5 linked regions of the Ovis aries genome follow. The protein of the gene in region 5 purifies or fractionates together with the protein of the main gene of each other region. This does not show direct contact. Links are inferred from orthologs where the notes say so. Each region holds a gene or a part of one and is shown on either strand. Other genes may lie near its edges.

Region 1 (4,306 bases), on a different chromosome or scaffold from region 5:
TATGAACAGAGGTCTGTTGGCTTCAAAGTGCCAAAGGTGTCCATCTCTCTCTCTCTCACACGCACACACACACGTTAAGAACTCTAACCTAGATAGGTGGGGACATAAAAACAGAAGGCAAGATGCTGCATTGCCTACACCACGCAAGTGAGTTAAGACAGAGGTGACCACTTGCTTGCTGCTCCTAGGATTAGCAGTTTGCATCTCCCTAAAACCGCACTGCCTGTGTGCCTGGCACAAAGAAGGAGCTCCATACAGTTACTAAATGGAAGGACAAACTTTGGGGTGGAGTTCCTGCAACCGAGGTTTGACACCAATTACTCCACTGATTGCACCAGCAGCCTAACAGTGTAGCTCAGTTTCTCCCCTTTTGGAAACGGAGCTCCTAGATTGTGAGGCCACTCTCACCTTCTGAGATGGCCCACACTCTGTCTGTGGAGTGTGTTTCTCTTTAATAAATCCACTTCTTACCTATCACTTTGTCTCTCACCAAACTCTTCCTGAGATAAGACATCAAGAACCTGGGGCTCAATACTGAAACTCCCCCCCAGGTGGAGGAAGCTGACTGTATGCTCTCACAAGCATGCAGAGCCCAGAGCAGCTGCAACCAGAAGGTTGATGATGCTGACTCCCACTTACCTCACCACCCACCAATCACAATCCATCGGAAGAATGCCCACGAGCTGATCACCCTCTCTTTGAACCATTTCTATAAAACTTCTCACTGCTCCCTCCAGGCTGGAACACACAGTTACGAGGGCATTAGCCCACTGTGGCCCCTTTTGCCTTGACAAAGCAATAAAGATATTCTTTTCTACTTCGCCCCCCCGCCCCCCAAAATATGACCCTGCAAGAACTTGCAAGGCAAAAAAAATCGGTGTGAAAGACTCAAGTCCTTTGAAAGATACGTTTTACTTTTTTTTTCTTCCCAACATGTATTCTTAAAACAACAGTTCTATTCCACTTCACACATCAGTACCTTGAATTCTATTTCCCACTCTGCTATGCACAACCCAGCCATTAGGAAGAAAGAGGCAACCGAGAAAAGGAAATAAAGCTATGTCTTTTAAAGCTAAGTCTGGTCAGGACTCTCTGCTTTCTGTGGGCAATGGATGAGCCCCAAGATCAGTGCAAATTCCCTGGGATTTGTTTGTAAATTATATATATATGATGTTTGGGTAATGAGAGTCCATCACTTTCATCAATTTCTTAAAGGGGATTCCAGAAAGGTTAAGACAACTCCAAAGAAACAGATGTGCTCCTGAAAATCTGTAAACAAAGTTACAATGTTCAAATGTTTTTTACAGGACCTTTATGTTTAAAAAAGAACTTGCCTACAACAATCTGTGGGTGAGAAATAATAAAACTGACCTGTGCAGTGCCCCATCGCCAGTCAGTGGACTAGACAGGGCAGCCAACCCTAGAGCACCTGCCTTTCTTCCCTGCACCATGCCTGTCACCATCCACATAGGCTATTCTTCCTAAGTCACAGTGCTCATGGTGTCAAGCAGGTGTACAGGCTTTAAACACCGCTAAGCACGGCTCTCAGTCGCTCTGATTACGACCAATCACCACGTTTACTCTAATACAAAATGGAAGAGATTTAAAGAGCCAAGGAAAGAAAATTCTTCCACTAACTTATTCAACAACTTTCAAAAACAAATTTATACTGCACTACCAGCTTAAAGTTTCCTCCTACTGCTTTCTATGAAGGATTCTCAAATTCCGGATGTCCAGAAAGACTTACTGCTCAAGGCTATATATCTGTATTAGCAAGAAAGATGCCAAGAAAAGATACACCAAGTTAACATCCTTCTCTATTTGGAAAACAACGGCGGGATCACTGGTCAAGATTTCCAAAAGGAGATCGCGGTGAAGAGGAGGAACACGAGGTCCCAACAGCGATGGCAATCCCGACAAATCCATCAATAATAGTACCTGCGGGTGGGTGTAGGGGGCGGGAAAGCCTGCGCAATAACCAGACCTAACAGAAATCTAGTGTGGCCAGAAGGGAATGACCATCGTAAGCGCATTTTCTTCACAGCCATCATTCCCTCATCCATCTTCTGCCCCCTAAACTGAAGCAGTGCAACAGGGGAGCGGATACTAGTGATAAATCGCATAGCTCTGGGGTGTAAACTTGGGTTTGAGACCTGTTTCCGTCACGAAATAACTGACCCGGGTAAGCTGCAACACGGTGCCTCAGTTTCCCCATCAGTAAAATGGGGGTAACTACACTCTTGACTACCCAGGAATGTTTCAAGGATTAAATGCGATAAAGAGAGCGAAACTCTCTGCACAGGACCAGACACAGAGGAACCGCTCCGTGGTGCTAAGGCAAGTCCGCAGGAGGGTCCTGGGGTCTGGGCTCCGGCCCAGAAAGGGCGCTCCCGGGGCCCGCTCCCCGCCAGCCGGGTTCCGAGCCCCTGCCCGGCCCACCTTGTTGTTGTACTCCTCCACGAAGCTGCCCAGCGCCAGGCGAAAGCGCTTGTCGGGCCGCACGCTCCAGTTCATGGCGTAGACGGTCCAGGGCGCTTCATACTTGTAGATCTCCTTCCGTTTGCCGTGCAGTGACATGGTGGAGGCGAAGGGGCCGCAGTGAGGACCGGGACGGGAGCGGGCTGTCGCGAGCCGGGCGCAAAACGGGCAGGGAGCCGGGCCTGGGACCCAGGGGTCCGAAGGGAGGCGGGGCGGGGGCGGGCAGGGACGGCCTAGCCCGGAAGCGGGGCGGTGGCAACAGACAACGACTGCCGGGCCCGACCCCCAGTTTCAAACCAGCTTTGGCTCGGACAACAACCACCTTCCGTTTGAGACACTGCCCCGCCCACTCGGAACGGAAGCCACGCGACCCCCGCAGCGCCGCTGGCCGTTGGCTGTCTGACACGTCTTTTCGAACGGTTCCTTCCTCTCATTGGCTATTGTGCCCTAAGCTTTTGAAACCTCCTTGCTATTGGCCTAAGTGTTTGTCATTCCAGCCACTTGCCCCGCCCAACTCCGGAGGTGGGGCAGGCGCTTACACAATCCCAAAGATCATTGGCTGACAAAGGTGTCAGTCAGAGAGATAACGGCGCAGTGCGGGTGAATGGGGGCGTGGGTGGCCAAGCGGCTGGCGAGCGAGGCAGTGGGACTCCGAGTTCTAGGCCAAGTGTCTGAAAGTGAGACTTTTTGTGTGACCTGCTCTCATTTCCCCACTGCAGCTGCTAGTCCCAGAAGCTACTCCACGCTGTCGAGTAAAAATGAAAATTCTCCCTTACCGGAGGACCTGCTGTATTTCAGGGCTCTGAGTTTGGTGGCCTGGCTGCCTGGCCTGTGCCGGAACGCGAAATTCCCCGCTCGTGCCAGCGTCCCAGTTAAGCCGTAATGTTGTTCCCCAGCGCCCCAAGGACAGGCCGCGAACACACCGTTTTCACATGGACACACCGATGTGTACTCGGGCCCAGGCCCAGCTACAGTCCGTGCGCTCTCCTTGTCATCGTAAAAACGCTCGGAATTCTAGGGTCGGCCCTCAGCAGGCGGCAGCCACACCAGCGTGGCTCTCACTGTTTATTCCTCCCCATTTCATCCTTCCCGCTAGGGTACCAAGGCAATTGCTAATCCAGCCCTAAATGCTGTATCTGTGTCTTCAGTTTGAAATGGAGAAAGGTCCGATTCTAGGTAACGTCTGTTTATAATTTAAATAGTTTCCAATGGTTTGCTTTCAAAACAACTAAAGGAGGATTGTAATGAATTGTTGGTGATAACATTAAGTATGGGCCTTCCCAAGTGGCGCTAGTGGTACAAAGAAACCCGCCTGTGTAATGCAGGAGACTCAGGTTCGATCCCTGGGTGGGGAAGATCTCCTGGAGGAGGAAATGGCAACCCAGCCCAGTATTCTTGCCTAGAAAACCCCATCGACAGCAGAGCCTAGCGGGCTACAGTCCATGGGGTTGCAAAGAGTCAGACACGACTGAAGTGACTTAACACATCATTAAGTATAGCTTTTAGTGATGTGATTGTTAACACAACTCAGAATTCAAAGAACTGAGTGTCACTGTTATATATATAACAATCCCCTTAAAGTAACTTCTGCTTCCTTATGTGAACAACTTTCTCTGGGCTTATTATGTTTTACTGTAACAAAAAAATAATATTTATCCACTCACATGAACTAATTGAGAGAAAAATTCCCTCTTTTAAGAGGTGTATGTCAATAAAATTTTAGTTTCTATAAAAATTTAAATAGAAGTATTTATGTTGTTTTGAAAAACCCAGTACTAATAAGTGTAACCCTTAAAGTGTAACCCTTAAATTATGTGTGTGTGTGTGT
Region 2 (3,386 bases), on a different chromosome or scaffold from region 5:
CCATGAACCATGGTGGAGAGATACTGCTGCCTTCCCGGGCTGTTTCTTGGAGACAGAGACCTCCTGAGTATGGTTTCTATCAAACAAACAAACAAACAAAATTAAGGCAAAGAAAGATGTTAACTTCCCAGAGAACCCTGCCCAAGCTGTATTTCAAAGTACCCCTCTTGGTTACCCTTGAAAGCAGGAGTCCTATGTGTTAAGGTGAGGTCATAACTCCCAGATAAAATTTTGAAAATTTAGTGTACATGCATATTTTTTTGAGGAAAAGAGCCCATAGTTTCTATCAGATTCAAGATTAGAAGCCTGTTTATAAACTTCATGTGTGTAGGAGTACTGACTGACGGCTTGTTTCACTCCTATATTGCTAGTGCCTAGTCGGAGTCTGTTATGTATATTCAATAACATTTGCTGACTGATTGAACGAATGACTATGAATAAGTAAGTTCTCAAAGCGGTTTATGACCCAGTGGTCTAGAAGGAAGAATATGAAAAGAGTGGGCAAGTGCCTACAACAACTGTACTCACATTGGGAAGACAAAAAACACTTGTTGAGTGAATGAGTGACGCAGCAGCCTATTCTGCTTAAGCCCTCACAGGCCCACGTGAAGCAGCGAAGGGCAAGGGACAAAACCAGCCTTGCATGAAAAGGGGCAGGGCACTAATGATGGGGCTTTTCTGACCCATGCATAAAGAGGGAAGATGCCTCCGGTAGGACAATCTGGGATCTCTGTTGGAAGGTTTAACATGGGTCCAATAAGTTTCTCTGGAACTCCCAGAACAGGAATTTCACAGGACACAGGACTTTCAATGCTAACACAAGGATAATCCTGGGCAAACTGAGATGGTAGACAACCCTTAGCCAAGGCTCAGGCAGACAGGAGTGCCAGGGGAGGCCATGTCAGGAGGGCCTGGAGCTAGAGGACACTTTACAAGTGAAAATGGAACAGTCTTCGCTACTCCCATCCTAGCTTCCCTGGTCTTGCCGGTCCCACCTGATTCATCTTGTCGAAGTCCAAGGAAGGCCGCAGCCGCCGAGGGTCCTCCTCATGGCGCCGCTTGACCCCAGCTTTGCGGGCATCAAGATCACAAGGCTGTGAGCGGCTTCGGGGAAGATTGCGCAGGCCTCGAGGTCGCCAGGGCAGCTCTGGGGAGGATGCAGGGGAGCTCCGGGCAGAGGGCAAGAAGCGGCTTGCCTGTGGGCCCAGGCTGGGTGACAGGGAGAAGCGGCGTTGGGGTGGGCAAGGTGACAGGGACTCAGCATCACTCTCCCAGGAGCCACTTTGTGGGGAGGCGGCAGAGGGATGAGAAGAATCTTGGGCTAGGGCCAGGCTGAAGAAAGGGGGGCTGTAGGGTCTGTGGGCTGGGGCACATTGAGACGAGGCACTGGGAGCTTGGAGGAACCTGAGGCTGGAGACCCGCTTCGGGGGGCTCTGGTGAGGCACCTGTGGCCCACCCCCTCCACCACTGCCCCGGTGCTTGATGGGAGTCCACAGCTTGGAGGGGGCGGGCCGCCACACTGGCTGCCAGCGAGACAGGTCCACGGGCACTGAGAGTGAGCGGCAGTGCCTCTTAGATGGAGGGGCAGGGGGCACAGGAAGCTTTTCTGGGTCTGGGGGCTCAGGGCTTAGGACTTGGGAGAGGGACTGCTCCTGTGGGGAACTTCCTGGGCTGGGTGGTCTGAGGTGCAGGCTCAAGCCTGAGGGGTGGTAGCTGAGGTTGAGGCTATCCTGGAACTCGGCACAGGAACAGTGGGGCAGGCCCCTCCAGGAAGCACCTTCTGGAAGGCATTCATAATAAAGACAGAATTAATGATAGCTAATATATTTTCAAGAGCTTACTATGTGCTACAAAACATAGTGAGCTTTATGTGAGGTTTCCCCTAAACTTCATGAGTTAGGTACTATCACTACCCCGATTTCACAGATGAGAGAAGTTCCGTAACTTGCCAACAGTTATGCAGGAATCAAATGACCAAAGCAGGGTTCAGAACCAGATTTGTCCGATGCTAAAGCTAGATCTTTTACCCAGCAGACTATAGTGCCTCCATTACGAGGAACCACCTGAAACTAAAAATATAGAATCATAAACTGCCTGTGAATCCGTGTCAAAGGTAGAATGAGTCAAGAGAAGCAAAGGTGTGTGTGCCACGCTCATCTTTCACTCCACTCCACCAAGCTCTACTTTGCTCCCCCAACCCCCAAGCCCTGAGTTGCGGAAAGCTGGCCTACACTCTCCGTCCTTAGCCTTTACCTTTCCTATGTGTCAAAGCACCAAGACAGGGTGATCAAGCAGGTAAGAGATCATCTGTATTCTTAGTGAAGGCAAGGGTGGGGAGGGTACAGTGGGAAAGGCCTTTGATGGTGCTTGTGTTCCTCTGGGTCTGGCCACCCACAAGGAAACGCTCAACATACTTACATGGAAAGATCTTCTAGTTTTATTATGATTAGTTTAAAAAGAAAGTTCCAAATATACAGAATCCAACCTTTTGTATTAAAAGAGTGTGAATAAAAAAAATTTACATTTTTATTTGATTCTATTTGTGAAAAAACAAAAACAAAAACTCTGGTTGAATAGACAAGAAACTAATAAAAGGAATTACTTTTAGGGAGGTGATAGAAGCTCGGTAGATAGAAAAGGAAGGGGCACTTTTTTCAGATTAACACTTTTCCTATTTAAGAAAATTGTGGAGGCAGGCTAGCTAGACCTGGTTATGGAAAACCAATAAAAGAAACGTGGATGGAGGCATGGGCATACACACACATAAACACATCATGTCTTACCAGACACAAGCTGGAAAGGGTTCCCACAGTTGGAGATGTCTGCATGATCAGGCAAAGGCTAAGAGACACAGAATATCCATCATGATTCAAGATCAGGACAGAGTTCCAGGAAGCCCCTTCAGCTCACCCCTGCAATTCATGGGCTATAGGGATATTAGGGACATCTAAGTGTTCTCTTCTTATCCTCCCAAAGTTAGTGAGTAAAATAATTCACATCTTCCAGTATCTCAAACCCTTCTCCACCCAAATTTTAGTGGCCCTTCTCTTAACAGTAAGAAAAACCTTGCCCCCTTCCTTTTGGGCTAGGTTTTGAGCCTTTAGCGGGCACATCCAGTACAAGTACCATGATTCATACAACGCAGGACAAGGGTGAAGTAGTAACAACAAATAGCCTCAGAAAAAAGGGCAAGGGGGTCTTAGAGAAGTGGGAAGACTGTCTTTTACCAGACTGATGCTGAAGCGTGTGCATTTCAGCTCATCCAGAGTCTGCTTCTGTAGCTGCTCAGTGATCAGGGTTATCATGATTCTCCCCAGGATTTGACTTGCACACTTTGGAGCAAATGATGGATGTCTTCCCTGTTGTTCTTCCAGACCTCACTCATG
Region 3 (4,090 bases), on a different chromosome or scaffold from region 5:
GGCTCCAGCCTGCCGCGCGCCGCCACTCGGAGCGGCCCGGTCCGACCCGGCCCCGCCTCCGCGGCGCCCCCAGCCCGGCCTGGCCCCCGCCCGGCCCAAGTGGGCGGTGCAGCGCGGGGGAGGGTCCGAGGGGTGACCCCGCCCCCGGGGCGCGGACACGCGCAGGCACCCGGCGTCACGCGTGTCCGGCGGGGCGCACGCTGGAGCTACGCAGCAGGACTCAGATTCCCTCCCTCCGAGGAGCGATGGCTGTGTGTCTGGGGCTCGGTCGGTTCAGGACTAGGCGGTGGCGGGTCACCCTTTACCCTTACTTGGGCCCCGGGGCCAGCGGCAGCTGGTCATTGTTCGAGCACAAAGGGCCAGGCGCCGCGGCAGCCGCCCTTCCCCCTCCGCTCCTCTAGTCGATGCCTCACCCCTAGGCACACTCTCCGGCTTCAGAGTCCAGAGAAGGAGGTTGGGGGTCACCTAACCCCCAAGTCTTGGCCCTGCGTCCTGGCACAAGTCGGGGGCCGACGCTTGGTGGGTGCCTGCCCCACCCCCAGCCGCTTGCAGAAGGCACGCTAGGATTTGCGGAGGCGGCGCCACCTGGCGGCCCGTTCGGAGAACACAGCCACCCCCAAACTTGGGGGGCCCCTACCCTTCTCCCCAGTGCTGTACTCCCTCTCGGGAGAGCCCCGGCCTTCCTCGAGCGCGGTTCTTTGCTCCCCAACCTTCCCTCAGACTCATTTGCTAAGAGGTAAATGCTCAAGAGAGAGACGTCCCCTGGGCCCCCAAAAGTCACCCCAGTGGGGGAGCTGGTCCAAACCTACAGGCCAAGCTTACGCCAGCCTCACAGCAGACAACGTTCCACTGTCTTCTCAGGGTCAAGAATACTCTCACCCTCTGGCAAACAACACAATCTAAACACCCACACGACCTTTCCCACACTCAGTCTCAGACACAATCACTCAGTCTGTCTGGTCCATCAGAAGGATCCATGTCCCTTCTTGCCATAATCAGGCCAACTCAGAGATACACACTTGGTATCACGGCTAGTTGTGCACAAGCTTTCACAGCTCAAGTTCCTTTGCACCCAGTCACAGTCTTGACTATACTTGCCTCCCAAGCTTTTTTCACACTATGACAGTCTTTTTCACAGTCACAAAGACAACTTTTTAAACATACACGTCGTATTTCACAAACATTTTATCACACAGACTTTCCCATAGGGGTTTCTGTGACCTAACCAGGTCAGCTGATGCCCGCATCCCTGGGCAAGGACAGCCTCCTGCCCCCTAACCCCGCCCCCCAGAACTAAGGCCTGCCAGAGCTCCTCTGCCCCAGGAAGGAGCATTCCCCCCGCCCCGCCCCCCCCTTCCAGGCCGCAGCCTGGCCGGCTCTCAGTTCTATTTTTAGCTCCATGGAAAGAGTTGTTTTCTTTCTTTTTCCCTGGAAAGGGAAACATAGCCCAGCCACCCTCAGGCTCACCCTAGACCCTCTTGCCTCACAAGTACAGACTGAGCCCCACCCCCATAGAGACCCCCTCTTCTGGCCTTGCCCTGATCCCAGCCTCCTGGGGCACCAGGAGCCTCCTCCCCTTTCTGGCAGCCTGCCCAGAAGCTCAGGCAGCAGCTGGGCTCAGCGTGTGTGGAGGGGTAGGGAGGGTGGTGGAGAGGGAGGCCGAGGGCCGCTGCCCACTCTCATTCGCTGGGGGGAGGGGGCCGTGCTCCCTTCTACCAGAGGGAGACGGGCCCACTCTGGTATAGAGAGGATGTGTACGGTCATGCATTCTCTGGGGAAGGGGGACTCCTACTCTTGCGTGAGTGGGCTTTCTGCTCCTACTTTGAGGGGAGGAGCTCCCAGTGCCGCAAGGAGGAGTGTAGTAAGAAAGGGGACCCACAGGCGTTCGCGCAGATGCTCCCCGGGGCTGGAGGTCCCGGCGGAGGCTGCTGTACACTGCCAGAATTGCCCCCCTCTCGGGTATCTTCAGGAATGGGGGCAACATGTTCCGGAGAAGGAAGGTGAGGAGCCCAGGTAACCAACCCTCTCAGTCCAACAGTCTGTTGTCCTCCTTCGCTACCCCAACTCCGGGGGGCGTTGTGCTCCCATTCCTGGGGAAGGGCTTATCCCCTCCAAGGGGAGAATGGAATACAGCCCGGCAATGTATCTTTCAAACTCGCTTAGTACTGCGGAGGGAGGTTCCCGCCGCGAGGCTCCCCCCGTACAGCCCACGGGTCTGCGAAGCGATCACGTGCTCAACGCCTGTTTACGTCTTAGTCTTCACCTGCGGGCAGCAAGGAAGCCGGAACCTCCGGAGGCGTCCCACCTGGCCCGCCCCCGTCCGCGGTCACTGGGAGGCCCTTTTCTCCCACCCTCACCAAGTACGCGACGGCAGCACACCCTGCCCGCTGGGGGTCCGCGCGGGCCAGCGGCGCTGATCCGCCAACAGCAAGCGAAACTCACTAGGCGCGTCCGCCCCGCAGTGCACGTGTATTCAGGTGTCTCCAGTACGCGCGTGGGTCTGTGTGCACGCGTGTGTGCGCCCGTCGGTGTGAGTTTTCGTGTAGGTTCCCTGTTCAGACTCTTCGCCCGCGGCCCCTGGACTGAGGACCCGTCTCTTCACCCCAATCCCCGGCTTCCCGGGATCGGGAAATTTCACTCCGGGGCGGGGGTGTGCAGGAGGCGAGAGTTCCTACACCGCCGCGGCGCCCCCACTCACTCACCCAGCGCTACCTTAACCGCCGTTCCAGCTCCCGCTGGGCTCCTGACCCAGGGCCGGCACCTCCTGGTCGCAGATCCGCCGGCTCCCCAGCGCGCTCGGCCCGGGCTTGGTGGAGGGGGCGGGGCGGCTGAGGCCGCGCCCCCGACCAAGGCAGGGGAGTGGTCTGCCCAGCACCCCCTCAGCAGCAGATCTGGTACCCTGCCAAGCAGTGTTGCGACGGTGGCCCAAGACTGCCCCTCGGACTTCTGACTTCGCAGCTTCTGGAACTGGCTTTCGATCTAGGAAGGGGCCAGCGGCGCCACAGCTAAGCTAAGCTACCTGGCTGCCCTAACCAAGTTGGCTATAGGGCTTTACTGCCACTATCCTCTGGTCTGTAGGGAGCCCAGCCTGGTCCACTCTCAGCCCACTCCCCAGACACAGGGAAAACCCCTGGGAAGCAGACGAAGAAGGCTCGGATTTCACCGAAACAGACCCCACCCTTCCTCACACACCTCTGAGGTTGGGGCTGCTCAAGCAGAACCAACACCTCCCCCTCCCCTGGAGTAGGTGTCTGCCCGGTGAGCAGGCTTGCCAGTTTTGCCCCCCGCCCCCCACCAGAGTGTAGTCAGGCTTCTCTTAGACTTATAAAGTTCCACCCACAGGCACAAACAGGAAGTTGACCTGTATTGCACCAAAGGGTCCCTCCCTCCATGGCACCCAAGGCAGCCTGTGGGAGGGCAGACCGTGATGTCTACAGGTATTTGGGTCATATCTGCAGCCTGAGTACTTGGGCAGCAGGAGCCCTTTGAGTTGAGTCTCTTCTGAGACCCATCCCCAGTGAAGGGATGGAGGACCAAAGCTGCCCCCTTACAGGCAAGGGGGTTAGAGAATCTGAGGACAAGCCTGCAGATCCAGCTGGATTCTACTGGGCCAGGCTCTCCCTCAGCTCTCAGGAAGATTCCAGTTGGGCACAGGCCGAGTACTGGTTCTAGCCCAGGCAGTTTGCCTCAATCCTCTTAGGTGGGGTATAGAAACAGTGACTCCTAGGGACCTTACATAGGACCCAGGGATTAACTGCTACTTTTTGGGCTCCAGGGGCTCTTGAAATACTTTGGGCTAATTTTCACGTGAGGGGTTTAAGACAGGTGTGTAATGGAATGTGTGTGTGTGTGTAGGGGTGGGGCTGGGGGATCATTAGCTTCCCCTCCTCCCTACCATTCTGGTTTGCTGTGTAGGCTGTCTGCTAGAAGGGTGGGGCAAGACAGGCAAGTGTGTATCTATCCCTCTATCCCCAATTCATAGACCTCATAAAAGTCTCCTTTTGGAAATCCCTGAAAGATTTCCTGAGCACAGAAGACCAGAATGTGGAACCCACATCCTTACAGGTAGGACTGACCTGGTAGTGTGCAT
Region 4 (3,512 bases), on a different chromosome or scaffold from region 5:
GAATCCTAAGTATCTACCCTAATAGTGGGACTCGGTTTTAAGAGTATCAGAACAGAAAACAGAAAACAAACTAATGGAATTCTGGAAACCAATATGTAAATCTAAAAACCATTGCAAAGTGTATGTACTTGGTCCTGTAAAAGAACGCTCTCTCATAAAGTGCTGAGATCAAGCAACCATCAAGTGACGTAAATTTAAAGTCTAAATCAAGATGTACCTTAGTTGATTTTCAACAGTCAGTATCAAGGATCTTTTAACTCTTTAAAATGATTTTCATTCTTCACTAGCCAAAAAGCTTTAACTGTTCTGCTCATTCAATCCATTGCAAATATTCCTGGAGTGCTTATTCCATCTAGTATAGTACTAATTTCTGAGGATGAAAATATAAAAATGGGCAAGCCAGACAGTTCCTGCCTTCATGGGCTTGCCATCTAATGACTATGAGAAACATTAAATGATTATACAAAGATTTAATTAAATTATAATTGTAGTTAAGTTGCTGCAACAGAAACTACACCCAACTAAGACACAGTCAACAACTGGCTTTATGATCTTGGACTTTAGTTTCCTCACCCGTAAAACTAGGAGTTAGATCAAATGATCCTTTAAGATCCCTTTAATTAAAACTTTTTATAAATCTAAAAGTACAAAACTTTGTTTCCAGAGTCCCTTTGTCAGGATATCTACATTTATAGATTCTATCAGCAATATAAAATCATCCCCATTTCCCAAAACATGAAGATTTTTGGCACAAAAATATAAGGTGGGATGAAAAAGTAACCTTTATTGTAACAAATTTTTAAGTCCAAATTCCATAAATTAAATTTACTGTGATGTTCTAAACTATAAAAAAGTGAGAGAAAACATGTCCATAAATTACTGCATATATCAGAATTCCTTTGAGAACTGTTTCAAATGCACATTCTTAAGACTCAACCAAAACCTACTGGAGAACATTCAAGGTCAAGCCTGGGGATCTGCATTTTTGATAAGCTTCCCAGATAATGCTAATACATACTAGTTTTAAGAATTTGAGAGCAGAGTAGAATAAACAATATTATGAGAAATGGTTTCAGAGTGAAACACTTCAAGATAAGAACTGTAATAAACCTACCTGTGTGGCCTTGTCCCTCATGCAAGGAGCAGCTTGCCCATGACCATCACGAGGCCAGTGCCCTGCTAGGTACGGAGCAGCGAGTGTATCCAGGGAGGAGGTACGGCGGATGATGCTAGAGGGGCTGGAGGAAGGTGGTCTCGTTTTGTCCCCTAGATTTAAGACAGATACATTTATTTAAAAAATAGCTTAGGAAGGAAACAAAGCAGAAACTAGGTAGAGTTTCTCTAACTTAAATATAAAATGTGAGTGACAAAGAGGAATAAGCTACTGAGTCACACAAACTTGGATGGCTCTCACATTAAGGGATTCCTGGTGGCTGAGAAGATAAAGAGTCTGCCTGCAATGCGGGAGACTCAGATTCAATCCCTGGGTCGAGAAAATCCCTTGGAGAAGGAAATGGCAACCCACTCCAGTATTCCTGCCTGGAAAATCCTGTGGACAGAAGAGCCTGGCAGGCTACAGTCCACAGGGTCGCAAAGACTTAGTTGATCATGACTGAAGCAACTTCATTTCATTTCCAGACATATTAAGTAAAAACAGTCACTCTCAAATGGCTACTTATGACTTCATTTGTACATTTTTGACATGACAAAATGTTAGAAATGGAAGAAAGATTAATGGTTGCCAGGGATCCACTAGCAGATAGGAAGAGGGAAAGTGAAGTACAGGAGAGGAGCAGATGTTACAAAAGGGCAATATGCAGGACCCTTTGGTGACAGGAAACTATTCAGCATCTTGACTGTAGTGGGGATGTACAAACATAAAAAGAAGATTAAGCAGTAGAGAATTTAAAACACATACACACAAGTACAAGTAAAAACGGAAGAAATCTGAGTAAGAACAGTGGTTTGTACAACGTCAAAATCCTACGTAATCCTACAAAAATGTTATCACTGGGGAAAATAGGCTAAACGTACAAAAGATCTCTGTATTTCTTACAACTACAATTAATCTCTACAAAAAAACAGAAAATAAGACAAATGTATCAATATTACCCATGAGAGGATTTACGAGCTTAATGTGTCCTAAGAGACAAAAAGGCATAATAAGAAAGGCCACCATCCTTATCTACCCATTTTTAAAATGCTCACCTTGGGTTTAAGATTAAGTACGTGTAATAGGTAAATATCACTTGTTATTACACCACCTATACTCACTCAAAAGGAAATAAGGCAGCTAAGATAAAGTTACAGGTAAAATTTCACTTTAATCAGCTCTGTCAGGCACATGTCTTACTGAGTTTTGTTATAATAAATAGACTTCAAGAAACCAAACTAACCAGCCTATAGGAGCTATACTTGAAGACATATATGCAAATATATTTTCCATTTCAAGATACAGGATATGTATTTAGATATACGCCAAAAATAAAAACTATAAAAAAAAAAAGAAAAGAAACTAGAGGTAATAGGAAGTTAGAGCAATACAGAAAAAATACTCTATTTCCTTTTTTTTTCTTTTTTGAAGGGGGAAAGTAATAGGCTTAGCTAATTATATTACAAAAATTTTTAAATTAAAGGATTTAAAAATATGAAACATGAACATTATAATGCTACCATTCTAGCTCTCTCTATATAACAAATACCTTGTTTTTCTTAAGGCCATATATGAAAACATTTTAGGATGCCTCTCTTCTAATCATATCACATTATTTCTTGACAAGGGTCTTATATAGTTACAAGTATAAAAGTTCAGTTGTTGGTTATGTGACCCAAATAATAAGAGATTCAATTCCACCAAGATAATAGTTTTATCAGCTGTGTTGCTGATAATCATAAAAGTTGCTTCACAAGATATGCCTCAGATACATAATTTGTTTTCAAAATGGCACAATTATTTCACTAAAACAATGCCTAAATGTTGCAAATGCTAACCATATCTCTGCAGTGTCTTCCTTTTATAGTTAAACACAAAATAAATACAGTACATATCCATAAGTTCAAGGAAGCATATACTCACCTATAACAAGTGAAAAGCAATAAATATACATGTACATGATTTTTCCTTTAACTAAAAAATGAATCTCTACCGGGATGGTCACAAAACTATTGTTCTTGGCCACAAAAAAGGGACACAGACTATGTAAACTGGAGTATATTCATTAAAATCCAATTGTTAAAAGCTGTCTGGCCCTTCTCTTCCTTAACTACAACATTGCTTCCATCACTGTTCAGTGTATTAATCAAATAGGTCTGATTTCATCAAGATTTTATATTATCCAAGCACTGACTTTTCAACTAGACTTTCTAAGACTGATTTTCCATAACACAAGGGAGAATAGAAAAATTATATGTGGTCACACATAAAAACACTAAACATTTTCTTTTGAACTCCCTTCATGTAAACATTTACTAAGGGTCTGGAAGCCAGTGCTAAGCCCTAGAAATTAAAAAGA
Region 5 (4,271 bases):
GCCTGTATCCCTGCTCCTCTGCCCACCTCATTGATGTGCTTGTAGGTCTTGATGAGGTCCACGGAGAGCTTGCGCAGCGGGGCCGAGGTCGCGTCTCGGAAGGCCAGGGGCAGCCTCCGCGGCAGGAGCCGTACTTCAGGCAGCACCTGGGGACAGGCAGGGTGACCAGTCGGTGGGCACTGAGGGAGGGCCTCCACCCCTACCTCGAGGGGGCGAACTCTGTGGGCTGTTGGCTCACCATTACCACATGGGTTATTTATCTGGTCACTGTCTGACAACCCCACTAGAATTGAAACTCCCAAAGGACAGAGACTTTACTTCTCTCCCGAGCCTGGAGCAGGGCCTCGCACATAGTGGGTATTCATAAGCAATTTGCTGAGTAAATCACGAAGTGAATGATTTACCCCTGACCTTTCATCACATACCTTGATTCTTTTCTAAACCTCAGGGGGAGAGGTTGGAAACCTGGGCTCTGACCCTCCCCATCCTTCAGTGGAGACCATCCATCCAGGGACTCCCTCCCAGAGGGGCTTCCTATCTTGTTTTATCCTCACCCTTTGGGGCCTCCCCACTCCGACCCTGCACCCCTTCTCTGTGCCTCTCTGCCCGGTTTCTTCACCCTGAGGATCGCGGATCCTCGTACTCCATCCTGTTTCAAGCTCTATAGCCCAGTCTTCAGTCTACCCTTGAAGGTCTTAACCCTGCACCCCCAGGCCCTGCTGGCTCCAAAATCCTTCAGACTCAAGCTTCTTCCCTTTGAACCCCTCCAGATCTTTCACTTTGGATTTTTTTTTTCATTAATGAGTATTTACTGAGTGTTTACTATGTGCCCGGCACTGTTCTCAGCATTTCCAATTGCATTTTATGAACTTGTTTAATCTTCACAACAACCCTGTGAGGAAGGGTTCGGGTCTTATTTGACAGAACAGGGAACTGAAACATGGGGATCCTATGGAATAACCACTGTGCCTGGATTGTAACCCAGGCTCTCCAAATCCCGACTCCTCCAGCGACTCTTCTCTATCTTCCACTTCCACGGCGCCCTTCACGCCCGGCAGACCGTCCCAGGCAACCACATCATCTTTTTTGGCCCCAAGACCCTTCTATCCCAGCCTCCCCCTCCCCCAGGTAGGTGAGGAGCCAGCGGAACGCGTACCTGCGTGTGCTCCTGGGGCCCCGGGAAGCCAGAGAAGGGACCATGGCCTGGTGGGACAGCCATGGTGGGCTCAGAGGGCCGCAGGGGAGCGAGGCCTGGAGCGGGAGCCCGGCTGGGGGGCGCCTTCTCGCATCCTGCACCTCGGCTGCCACCGCCGCTGAGACCTGAGAGGGGGCAGGGTGGGGGGAGAGGGGGGACATGGAACAAAGGGATGTGTTGGCCAGTGCCAAGCGGGAAAGAGGTGGACAGCAGAGAGAAGGCGGGGCACAGAGTGCGGAGAAAAGGGTGCAAGGGGTCAACAGGTGGCAGTGAAGAGCGGACAGAGAGAAGTGGCGGTGGGGGGCACAGCAGAGCCCCCGCGAATGATGACCAGATACATGGAGCAGGCGGCACGGGGAGGGGAACATGGGAAAGGGAACAATCGCGAGCCAGGCAGGGATGTGAGCCGTGACAGGAAAGGACAGAAAGACATGAATAATTGGGGGGAGGAAGAGAAGAGAGAAACCGCAGGCAGCACAGGGAGCTGGGTTCACACTCTCCTCCCCATTTCTACGTATGGCTCTCCTCAGGGCCCCTCCTGTAGTCTGGGAGCGTCAGGACTTTGTCTTACCACAGGACGGTCCCTCCACTTCAAGGTCTACCCTTCCCAGTAGGTCCCCCAATCCAGAGAACTCTAGGCTCCCTCCCAAACCACAGGGGAGTCTTTCGGCCCCCTCCAAATCACAGCAGACTCCTCTACAGGCCCCTAAAACCACACCAGGGTCTTCAGGGAGCTCCCAACCACACCAAGGTTATCTAAGGACCCCTTTATAACAGAGTCCTAACCCCAAGGCATTCTCACCCACCAGGGTACACCCTTCTCAGAGGACCCTCCCCATTTAGTGCCAAGACCTCTTCCATATCATTTCCTCCCACATCAGGGACCACCCCCCCAGTAATTTCCCAAACCATATCCAGTTCCCGCATGCTACACCAGGGCCCTTCTTCACATTACTCCAAGCTGCTCCCCCCTCCCCCACTAGGGCCACTCCTTTGGGAAGCAAGGGGGAGGCGTTTCTATCGGCGCTTTAGAGTGGATCGTCCTTCTCTCCCCTACCATGGATCCTACCCCCACCCTCGCTACCAATATTCCTGTCAGGGCCCTTTCTCCAGTTACTCCTTCACACCAGGGTCAACCCACAGCTGTGCCCATTCCTAGAAGTCCCCCAGAGCCAAATTCGCCAAATATCACAGAGTTCTCCCCTTCCAGAGTATCTTCCACACCAGACTCCTCTCCCCACGGGCCTTCTCCCCTGTCAATCCTTTCTCCCATGCCAAGCCCTGCCACTCCACGATCCCTCCTCTCTCTTGGAGCTCCCCCACAAAGCAATCTCTGCCCCGGGCCCCTCCCACAACAGGACCCTCTCTCCCAGCCTCCACCCCATACCCGGGTCAGGGCTGGCGCGCCCACGGGGGGCTGGAGCGCGATGGGGCCCCCAGTTGGGTGGGCGAGCGGCCAGCATGGCGGTGGTGGCTGTGGTGAGCAGACAGCCGCCTGTCCCGGCCCGGCCGGCCCGGCAAGCCCCGCGGCGGGGAGGGCAAGCGGGACAGGCGGCCCGGTGGGTGACAACAGCAGGCAGCAGCCGCCGCCGCCAGGGGCGGGGAGAGAAGGAAACTAGGGTCAGCCCGGGGCACGCGGGGGAAGGGGAAAGCAGGTGGACGGGGGAGGGGCGAGTTAACCCTCGCCCCGCCGGCCCCGCCCAGCGCAGCCACCCTCCCCAGGGGACCCCGGCGTCCCGCCCCCCACCCTGGAGGCCAGCCCCGGCCAGAGGAGCCCAGGCGGGCGGGGCCGGACCGAACTTGGCAGTCCACACCTACCATGGCAACAACCGTGCCATTGGTCGTTGCTGCCAAGAGACCAACCAATCACAGCGCAGGACGGCGGTTGCTAGGCGACGACGATGCGGCCGGCGGAGCCGAGCCCAAACAAAGGGCGGGAGCGAGGCCCCGCTACCCCCTCCTAAGACTGCTCCCTCCGGCTCGGCCCCTTCCAGGAATCCGACTATGAATAGCCAGGCAAGGCCTGCACCTGCCCGCCGCCCCCCTTCTCTCCTCCTTCGGCCTCGTGCTAAATCTCGCGGCGACGCAGGCAGGGCGGGTCCCAGACTACCCTCCCTCCCCGAGAACGCGTGCTGTCCCCCAGGAGCCGCGTCCTTACCTGAGAGCGCGGGCAAGGGAACTCAAGCTGCTCGGGAAGCCCGAGCTCAGTCTTGCCCACAGGCTGAAGATATCCGGCGAGCGCAGCGAGCCAGGGCCCCGATTACCCAGTAATGCAACCAGCAAAATGGCGACCACAACAAACCGGCCCCCCCGCCTCGGACTCCGCCCCCACCCCCCAAGCTGTTTCCCCTCACGTGACCCAGGGCAGCGCTCCGCGGTTGCGCTCAAAGAACCTTACTGGGATCCATGCGCAGTGAGCTACCGACCCCGCCCAAGCGCCGAAGTCCAAGTTACGGCTGCGCAGGAGGCAGCTAAGAGAGGAGCGTGCGCAGTGCGACCGGGTGGGAGGACTCGCCCCCACCACCAGGCCAGTGGACAGAGCGTGCGAGCGCCCTGTGAATAGACGTCGTCAAGCAATCAGCGGCAAACGGACCGACTGATGAGTCTTTTAATAGAAAAACAAACGTGTAACAGTAGCAACACTCTCTGGCGATCCAGTGGCGCTGGGCTTCAGTTCTTCACTTTGGGAGGTGGCCTGAGAGAAGAAAGTGGACTTAGAAGAGCCCGTCACCACTTTGGGGCACTCGTAACAAGTACTGATGGGGCCTCGTGCTCACCTGTACACACCCACGACCACAGCATGGTCTCTCTCGTACGGCTCTAGGGTCAGCTGCTCCTGGGGCTTCATGTTCTCTTGCTGCATCTTTTTCACTTCAGAGGCAAAGACAGCCTCGGCGGAAGCTGTGGAGTCAATGCAATTAGCCTGCAAAAGAGAGGATTTGAAGTCTGAGGCAAGCTTTGGGATATTCCCCCGTTTTTGTGCTTCTTTAAACCAGCAGAATTTGTTTTTATTGGAGACTAGGCTTTGGAAATATACGGAAAGACTTTGTTAGAGAAGTTTTCGATTTGGTTTGGG

Evidence for each region.
Region 1: the proteins of DYRK1B (region 5) and DCAF7 purify together in Homo sapiens (affinity purification with mass spectrometry; 10 studies listed by BioGRID and IntAct, counting the BioPlex papers as one, with this or other methods). This does not show direct contact. The link is inferred for Ovis aries from reciprocal best matches to the Homo sapiens genes DYRK1B and DCAF7.
Region 2: the proteins of DYRK1B (region 5) and FAM53C purify together in Homo sapiens (affinity purification with mass spectrometry; 3 studies listed by BioGRID and IntAct, counting the BioPlex papers as one, with this or other methods). This does not show direct contact. The link is inferred for Ovis aries from reciprocal best matches to the Homo sapiens genes DYRK1B and FAM53C.
Region 3: the proteins of DYRK1B (region 5) and LZTS2 purify together in Homo sapiens (affinity purification with mass spectrometry; 3 studies listed by BioGRID and IntAct, counting the BioPlex papers as one, with this or other methods). This does not show direct contact. The link is inferred for Ovis aries from reciprocal best matches to the Homo sapiens genes DYRK1B and LZTS2.
Region 4: the proteins of DYRK1B (region 5) and FAM117B purify together in Homo sapiens (affinity purification with mass spectrometry; 3 studies listed by BioGRID and IntAct, counting the BioPlex papers as one, with this or other methods). This does not show direct contact. The link is inferred for Ovis aries from reciprocal best matches to the Homo sapiens genes DYRK1B and FAM117B.

Annotation. Positions count from the first base shown.
Region 1 is NC_056064.1:47,596,363-47,600,668, reverse strand, and holds the start of DCAF7 (DDB1- and CUL4-associated factor 7), read right to left. Parts: upstream 2,810-4,306; 5' UTR 2,578-2,809; coding exon 2,440-2,577; intron 1-2,439. UniProt on the Homo sapiens protein: Involved in craniofacial development. Acts upstream of the EDN1 pathway and is required for formation of the upper jaw equivalent, the palatoquadrate. The activity required for EDN1 pathway function differs between the first and second arches.
Region 2 is NC_056058.1:47,411,220-47,414,605, reverse strand, and holds part of FAM53C (protein FAM53C), read right to left. Parts: 5' UTR 3,306-3,386; coding exon 3,228-3,305; exon of another isoform or gene 2,842-3,227; coding exon 2,784-2,841; exon of another isoform or gene 1,781-2,783; coding exon 996-1,780; exon of another isoform or gene 77-995; coding exon 1-76.
Region 3 is NC_056075.1:21,595,507-21,599,596, reverse strand, and holds the start of LZTS2 (leucine zipper putative tumor suppressor 2), read right to left. Parts: upstream 2,813-4,090; 5' UTR 2,713-2,812; exon of another isoform or gene 2,443-2,712; intron 2,220-2,442; exon of another isoform or gene 414-2,219; intron 39-413; exon of another isoform or gene 1-38. UniProt on the Homo sapiens protein: Negative regulator of katanin-mediated microtubule severing and release from the centrosome. Required for central spindle formation and the completion of cytokinesis.
Region 4 is NC_056055.1:204,886,004-204,889,515, reverse strand, and holds part of FAM117B (protein FAM117B), read right to left. Parts: intron 1,267-3,512; coding exon 1,115-1,266; intron 1-1,114.
Region 5 is NC_056067.1:48,790,033-48,794,303, forward strand, and holds the start of DYRK1B (dual specificity tyrosine-phosphorylation-regulated kinase 1B), read right to left. Parts: upstream 2,813-4,271; 5' UTR 2,659-2,812; coding exon 2,583-2,658; intron 1,321-2,582; coding exon 1,157-1,320; intron 147-1,156; coding exon 27-146; intron 1-26. Other genes in the region: FBL (rRNA 2'-O-methyltransferase fibrillarin), read right to left, coding at 3,866-3,890, 3,973-4,118.